2 linked regions of the Nothobranchius furzeri genome follow. The protein of the gene in region 1 interacts with the protein of each later gene in a pairwise test. Links are inferred from orthologs where the notes say so. Each region holds a gene or a part of one and is shown in the gene's direction. Other genes may lie near its edges.

The links. The genes of interacting proteins can lie anywhere in the genome.
Region 2: the proteins of abl1 (region 1) and msh5 interact in binary tests that used the Homo sapiens proteins (3 or more experiments, as listed by UniProt). The link is inferred for Nothobranchius furzeri from reciprocal best matches to the Homo sapiens genes ABL1 and MSH5.

The regions. Positions count from the first base shown.
Region 1 is NC_091746.1:53,653,094-53,657,253, forward strand, and holds the start of abl1 (tyrosine-protein kinase ABL1), read left to right. Parts: upstream 1-1,360; 5' UTR 1,361-1,590; coding exon 1,591-1,717; intron 1,718-4,160. UniProt on the Homo sapiens protein: Non-receptor tyrosine-protein kinase that plays a role in many key processes linked to cell growth and survival such as cytoskeleton remodeling in response to extracellular stimuli, cell motility and adhesion, receptor endocytosis, autophagy, DNA damage response and apoptosis.
Region 2 is NC_091745.1:79,204,597-79,208,573, reverse strand, and holds the start of msh5 (mutS protein homolog 5), read left to right. Parts: upstream 1-1,177; 5' UTR 1,178-1,373; exon of another isoform or gene 1,374-1,464; intron 1,465-2,910; 5' UTR 2,911-2,914; coding exon 2,915-3,016; intron 3,017-3,100; coding exon 3,101-3,224; intron 3,225-3,332; coding exon 3,333-3,413; intron 3,414-3,672; coding exon 3,673-3,726; intron 3,727-3,849; coding exon 3,850-3,971; intron 3,972-3,977. Other genes in the region: SPRY domain-containing SOCS box protein 1, read left to right, coding at 1-503, 580-710.

The DNA.
Region 1 (4,160 bases):
TACTTCTGCCCTGTTCTCGTTCTCCCCTCATCCGCACTAGCCCACGCACTCTCTACGTCATACGTGGCTCCACCCACATTTTTCTGTAAACCACCTTGCGTATGGAAGTATGGTGGCCTCGGCGACAGTGCTGCTGCTACTTGGCCAAAGTTTACTTCGCTTTTCACGTGAAAGCGATGAATAAATACGCAAATAGAGGACAGCGCAAAGAAGAGTTCAGAAGCTGTAAACAGAAGAAATAATTTGCAAAAGGAGGCGTTTGTGTCCGGCCCGGAAGAGTTCCCTCAACTTCTCTTCGTCTTCTTGGTTAAAGTCTAGTTCGACTTCCAGAGGGGGAGACGCTCCAAAAGATGGGAAAAGTGGACGCGGAAGTTTAAAAGAAACTTGTGATTTTTGTTGAGATTGGTTGCAACATGGGAAAATATGTTTTCCATGTGCTTTTTGGGAGACATTTTGGTACAATTGTCCGAGGATATTAGCGGAGAACCAGCGCGAGCCAACTGTTGACTCGAGCCGATGTGCATACCACCAGCAGACGTCGGTTAGCTTCATGGCTATCTTCAACGTTAGCTGGAGGTCGCCGGCTAACCAGATATTTCGCAGTTTTTCTGCTCGTGTAAGTTTGCTTTTTCGTCTTTTTACACTCTTATAAGAATTCAAGTTAAACGAGTGTTAAAAATCTGTCCTTTTAACAGCAGGGCTAGTTATTGACATTTCTGACTTCGGAAAATAAAATCTAGCCCCCTGATTAATCCCTTCCTTGGGATATAAATCTTTTTAATAAAAAATCTCACCGATTTACTTCAGATCAGTATAGAAATAATATAACCAGAGTGTGGTAATGTTTTTAAAGTTGTCTGTGTGATAAAAATGATGATAATTGACTAATAGAACGAGAAGGAAACACCCATGATTTAGGTGATCCTTGACTTTGTCAGTGACTCTTATGCTGTGGATGGAATTGTGCTGGCATTGTTTTTATTGGGTTGACTCTTGTTTGAATAGTCACAGTAAATCAATACACGTGTACCAAGTGATCCCTTTCCTGTTCAGACATGTCTAAAAACAATATTGGAAGTGGAACCCATCAAATCGAATACTTATAGAACAGCTTTGTTGGTTTTTATAATTTTACACTCATTTGTACACAGAATCATTTAATTGTCAAAATATGAATACATTTTTGAAGGATGGTGTTTCACTACAGCAGATAAAACTACAGTTCAATATATGAGGGATGCTTGACTAGCCCGTGGAGAATGATTTTGAATGTCAATTGCTTGAATAATTTGTGGGTTTTAATCGTTTTGAATTAATCATTGAGTCATCCATTATTTTTCCCCTAGACTCCTGTCAAACATCTTGTCATCTGAAGGGCCCAGAATCTATAAATGCATGATACACAGGGACATCCTGGAGAGATCCGTCCAACAGACTTGAATCACCCATTTTTTAGTGGGGACTGTCCAAGTCGGGGAACAGGCCTCCTGATTTCTCCTGAACTTTTTCCTGCCCGGAGCCCATTTGCTGGAGGGTGAGCAAGTGATACTGGCTTGGAGAGTCCCGGCTGCAGCCTGGCACCCTGGCCTTATGGGGCAGCAGCCGGGGAAGTTTGCAGGGGACCAAAGGAGACCCAGTTTGCCAGCCTTTATTAAGGGGGGAAAGAGAGAGTCATCACGCCATGTGAGCCAGCCCTGGAATGTTTTCGATAGGCATGGTAAGATCGAAACACTTTTCTAAATTTCCTGTAAGGGTTTATTTGCAGTCATAGTTGACAGACACTTTTTCCCTCCCTGTATCTTGTTGGCATTGGCCTAAACTTCTCTGTCATCTAAATATTAAGAAGGAAAAGTTGACAATCCAGTTTTATTTACAGCAATCAACATTTTATATTTATTCTCTAATCTAGTGGCAATGCAACAAAGTTGTGTGTATTCTGTTTGGACAGGACAGGAATTCCCTTTTATGTTAGAACAGCCAAGAGCAAGATGAAGAACATTTTAATGGTGTGGAACATTAAAAAAAACATTTTTAAAATCTTATTCAGGGCTTTTCCTGGCTCAAATTGAGGCAGAGGTGGTACCATCCTGACCATGCGCCAGCACATGCATACTCTGTGCATTCAACTGCCTCACTTTTTTAAAGGCAAATATATTTTCGTTAAGTGATCTAATCTAAGCTTCTGTTGATTAATAGAATATTCCATTTGACAACATCTCAAGTGAAACAAAACTGGTTTGCTGCTCAAAATATGAAATAAAACAACATTTTTAGGCTGAAGTAACAGACTCTTATTATAAAAGGCTCAATAATATGCATTAGATTGGTGTTTAGTTCCCATTTTCCCATCTGATATTTATAGTTGAAATATTTTTTAATACTTGACCTACATTTCAGTAACATTTTAGGTTTGTTTTAATAACACTCATCTTAGTCAAAATAACACATAAATATATCCAGTAAAAAATAATGCATTTCATTAACATGCATTTGTGTTGGAAATGATAATAACTTGTATTTTCTGCTGCTAACAATGTAATGGTAACATGTCTATTATGTACGGGTTGGCAATAATCCAATTTAAATTATGTTCAAAGATAGAAGCGTTTGTTAATTATATTCTACAATGGCTTGCACTACATCCTGCTCCTGTGTAACTCGTATCTGCAGCGGTTCTGGTCCATAGCGCTGCAGGATGCAGAATAAACAGGATGGTGGGGACCTTTCATCCACTTGTTGAGTTTAGTCTTTCTTTGTTTTACGATCATCATATATCCACTTGATCGTGCGACTGCTACCCATTAGCTTTAGCATTAGCCAATCTGCATGTAGCTGCACTTTTGATCCCAAACTTTGGACCGGTTCTGCCTTTGTGCCTTTGCTGGTTCCTTTATTTTCCTCCACTGCATCCAGATTATCACACTGTGCACCTGTGAAAAGCATTTTTCTTACTTTTGTTCAATAACGTTCTGCAGTAAATAGTAATTCAAAGATGTTGCACCAGCGCTACATTGAAAAATAGACAGACACACACAATGTTTTACGTTGCACTGTACACCCCTGCTCTGATAGGGAAGAAGTGCCTGGGGGAAAATCAGGACGTCAGTAGCACCAAACATAGATATGTACCAACTAGCGAGAAAAGCTATTTTTGATCATTTTCTGCAGTGGTTTTAGCGCGTTTCAGTGCACCGCTGCTGATACAGCGCCCCTGTAGTGGCGCAATGCTGCAACTGCAGTTACAATAACATCCATATAGCTGGGGGCAGAGTGAAATCAGGCTGGGGCGGCACAAAATTAGCTGGAGTCGGCCGCCACGCAAATTTGAACGCAGGTAAAGCCCTGTTATTTTTGATGATAATTGGTCAGTCTGAGTTTTTCTTGCAGGCTGAACATGGAAATGGTATTTACACCTATCTTCTGCATTAGCTTCTGATGGAAAATAGGATTTGAAAAGCCTGACAGATCTACGTCAAACTGACACAACATTCATGGACCCACCCACCATGACTCGTGACAGGGAAGGTTGTTGGTTTTAACGTCCAGGAAAGGGCAAAAAATGGCTTGGCTAGTAGAAGCTAACTGTTAGCATTAGTAACTCCACCACACAGCAGAACTCCTTCAAATTTGTGTTATTTGTGGAGATAAAACATCAGTTTTGCAAGTTAGTGGTAGCCACGTTGCTGTTATCTAATCCGGTCATGATATCCAAAAATCAGGAAATAAGACTCCAAAACGTGCCGTCTGAAACTCAGCAGTGATGTGGCTCACTTCTAGTTCCTGGAAATGGTGCACTGGAGCTTTCCCCCTAGAGTATGACTTATGGACTCGACACACAGAGGCAACAAACGACTGCGTTAAGTGAAACTTTTCGCTATTGCTTTGATAACCTGACACACGGGAGGTGACGTGGCAGTGGCAAAAGCAAGCAACCTGTTCTGTTCCTGGGCAAATAGCAAGTCTTCCGTTGTTTTGATTGGCTGTCAGATTGGAGGGAATGTTGGGTTATTACAGCAGTTCAGAGTTGAAAAAGTGGTAGATATGAAGCCTCACAAGGTTTTGCTAGAGTTAAAGTGAAGTCTTACATCTGACTTTACTATATAAAAAATTAGTGAATGTGTTTATCCCATATTACAAACCATTAAAAGAAACAATGAATA
Region 2 (3,977 bases), on another chromosome or scaffold:
TGGAGCGAGGGCAGAGATGGGGGTGAGGAGTGGGCTTCATGTGTGGGAGCTAACGTGGAGCCTCAAACACAGAGGAAGTCATGCAGCCATAGGGATCTCAAGGCAGGAATGTCCTTTGCACGACTCTGGTTATAAAGTTCTGGTGGGAGGAGACTCACGTTCCTGGGGATGGGAGCTTAAGACCAATCAGCTCTGGCACGGTGGGCAAACTCTGGAGTGCTACCCAGATAAAAGTAGAAGGTGTCGCTCTGGGGCTGCAAACAATTTCAGACCACAATCTTCTAATTCACATTCCACAAAGGAGGCAGAAGGCCCTCTTCTCATTCCCGAGCGTGTCCTGCTGGTCCTGGATGCAGATGCAGGGACTCTGGGGTATTTTGTTGATGGAAGCTTCCTTGGCGTAGCTTTTAGGGACCTTCCTAGTGGAGTAGAACTCTTCCCAGCAATAAGCAGTGTGAGAGGAGGAGCCAGCATACGATTGCGCTATCTTAACGGCACCACAAGTGAGTATCACCAACTAAAATAAACTGTATAATTTAAAAATGCTTTAATACTTAACATTTGTCCATTTTTTCTTAGGTAATCCTCCAGCCCTGATGGCTTTATGTGGACTGTCAATTTGTCAGCATTTAGGACAGCAACGACAGGACCAAGCTGAAAAATTGCCTCTTCCACCTTTCCTCCAGCGTTACCTGCTTTCTTGTTTCTAATTTTCATGAACATTCACGTGCAATCAGCATGCTTTAGCGTTTACAGCATTAAAGCCAAATAAGGCATTTCTGGTTGATTTGATATAAATATGACATTTTCAAAAAACTATTTCTTTAGTTGTATCTTTTGTTTGTGATGCATGGTATTTTGATAACGTTTTGAATGCATTTGCAAATTCCTTACTGTGTAAGCAATATGTTTCCTAAATTTATAATAAAATATGTTTTTGCAATTTCATTGTTTTGCTGTTTGTTTACAAAACACTACAGGCTACTGACATTGTATAGCTCGGAAAAGGTACTCACATAATTCATTATTTGTGTTAATAGTCATATCTGTTGATGCAAATAATTATTTGAATTTGATCACCTGACTGTAATTTTGTCAATTATGCAGCTGTGGATGGTGAATTTACCTGTAAACAAAAATAAAAGGGGGGGGGGGGGGGTGGTGGTGGACTGCATCAATATTAGGATAAATGCACTTAACTACCCATATATGAGCTCCCAAGCTCATTTTGTCAACATAAAAGTAAAGCTATGTAAAACTATATGTATATCATTCTCATTGGGCTTTCCCAAGCTTACTCACTTAGTCGGATGGTCCCGTTGCCATGGAAACAGAGGGCTGAAACAAGGCACGTGGCAAGCTGCACATTTATAGTAAGTTGAGCTAATCTCCCAATGCAAGCTGTTATAAAATAAAAAGTATGTATGAGATGTAGGTGTCGCTACTAAAGTCCCAACTAATTATGTAAGTACATGTTATGTAGTCTGATACTGCAATAAATATATATTTATAATATATCTTGCTAAATTAGACTAGCGTATGTCATTCACCTAGCATCAACTAGCTAACTGCTGCGACGTTCACTTAATAATGAAGTTACTTTTTTTAACAACAATTAAAGTGTAGGTAATGAGTTATTAAAACTAAATAACAAAATAAGACTAGTTTTCGGATTTTTTAGGTTTACTTAAACGTCAGATATGAAGTTCAACCTCTTTCAGCGCTACTTCCGGTGTAGCATATGTGACTTAGAAAATGGCGTACTTTCCTACGGTTGGGGTTTAGGACCCATAGTTAATATACATGATATCTATGTTAGGACCACTCTTAATCTGTCCATAACCGATGCTGAGATAACATATATTTAAAGGTTTGATAAGTATACACGATGTAACGGTAATTTCCCCAAATTTAAACTAATTTTAATAGCCTCATTGACTTGCATTCATTTTTTCTTATTTCCGGGGACACATGAGCCTTATGTAAATGTGTCTGACTAGTTAGGCTCTATTTGGGAGTCTGAAGCTGAAAAGTTTGGGAACCACTGGCTTACAAATTAGTATCAGGTTTTACTATGTTAATAATTTGTATCATAGTAGATTATAACGCATACATCGTGCTTTAAGGAAGAAGAAAGATTTTATATGGCGCCTCTCTAGATAAAATCTCAAGGCACAGTAAACAATAAAAATTAATTTTAAAGGATAATAATAAAAAGGAGGAAAAATGATTAAAAATCAGGTTGTAAATCATTAAAGGTTCTCTAAACAGTTCACATGGCAGTGTTTGGTTACCCAAGAGGATGTCCAAAGAATAGATTAACCTTTTTCTGTAGCTTTAATGGCCTCAGAAGAGTAAATAATGCAAATGAGTATTTTACTACTGTTATTTTTAGTTTGAATATGTCTGATTTACTATATTTTTGTTTTGGTATGTCTTAAATGTCCTGCCCATATTGTATTTTGTTTCTTGTATTTAATTTTCAAAAGAAAAGTTGGAGGGACTACAAAGTCGCTAAAGTGGCGAGGAGTACCCGTTGGTTGTGGTGGGCGAGGAACGAATTAACGACGTGCGAGGAATATCCTGCCATTGTGGATTGTTTTAGCTAGGTAGACTACGAAAAATAATCATTTTTATCAGAACTGAACTGTGACCCGATTACAACCCACAGCTTTCGACTCTCTGAGGATCAGTTGGTTTTTGAGGGTTACAGACTGGTGGAAGCAGTGGGATGTAGTTCTGATAGAAATGATTACTTTTTCGGCTTACACTACTACAAACAACACATTTGACAGCAACACAGAGCCCAATCTAGTCAGTAGTGATAAAACGTTTTAACATTCACTAGAGGACCAGATAAACTACTCAAAAATGAGCCTAATATCACTTTTAATGAACCATTCTGTGTAGAATTATGGCAGCAGCTCAAGAACATTCAAGAGAAGGAGGGAGAGTGATGGTTTATGGTGGCCCTGGCAGGAATGAGGATGAAGAGGAAGAAACTGACATATATGTGGTAAAATGGCTGCAGATACCAGTGGATTTCTAGATGCTTTCAAAATTAGCATTAAAACTTTATAATTAACGTGTTTGTTTCCAGGTTTTGTTGAGTGTTTTGGTGCATCATGGGCAGGTGGGTCTCTGCTTTTACGACAGCGAGGACTCCTCTCTACACTACATGGCTGACACTCCTGACAACCACGATCTTCACCTGTTGGCCAGAGGTAAATTATTCACTTACTTCCAATAGAAACATCACACTCACCAAGCTTTACTTTTCCTTTGTTCTGTTATTTGACTGTAATGTACGTCAAATGTTGTTTAATCTTCAGTCATTGAGGAGGTTAAGCCCCAGGTAATCATCACCAGTGCAAAGCAGGAACGGTGCTTGACTCGCTACTTACAAAGCCTCGGTGAGCGCCGCTAAACAAATGTCTTTGGTTGGTTAAGCGGAGTCAGAAACTGTAGAAGAGCATTTTGTTTTGAAGGGATGTGGAACGAGATGTTTCTGGGTCAAGGGAATTTAATGAGATTAAGGATGTTTGACACAGTGATAAGAAGAAGAGTGATTGTGATGGTGCTCCTCCTTATCTTTACTGAGCCTCCTTAACAACAAATAAAAACGGGGCATCTGTTAGTCACATTTTTATAATTAGTCTGATTTTGTTTCAGATTCCAACCAACACTACAAGCCAGAGGTGGTAACTTACCCATATGCAGACTTTGGTAAATGGTTGTTCTAATGCAATATTTATACACCTCCTGTAATTGCCAGGCTGTAGTTCTCTGTTCAGTCTTCGTTTTTTACAAATAACCACTTCATTAGGGTTTTGATTTTGAACGTTACAGGTCTGGAGGTTGGTAAACAGAGGCTTCTCTCTGCCCACCTGCCTTTCCTTCCAGCCAACATTTCAGAAAGAGACAAACTGTCCTACCTTTCCTCCTGTATCACTTTTGATTCGCCCCTGATGGTGAGC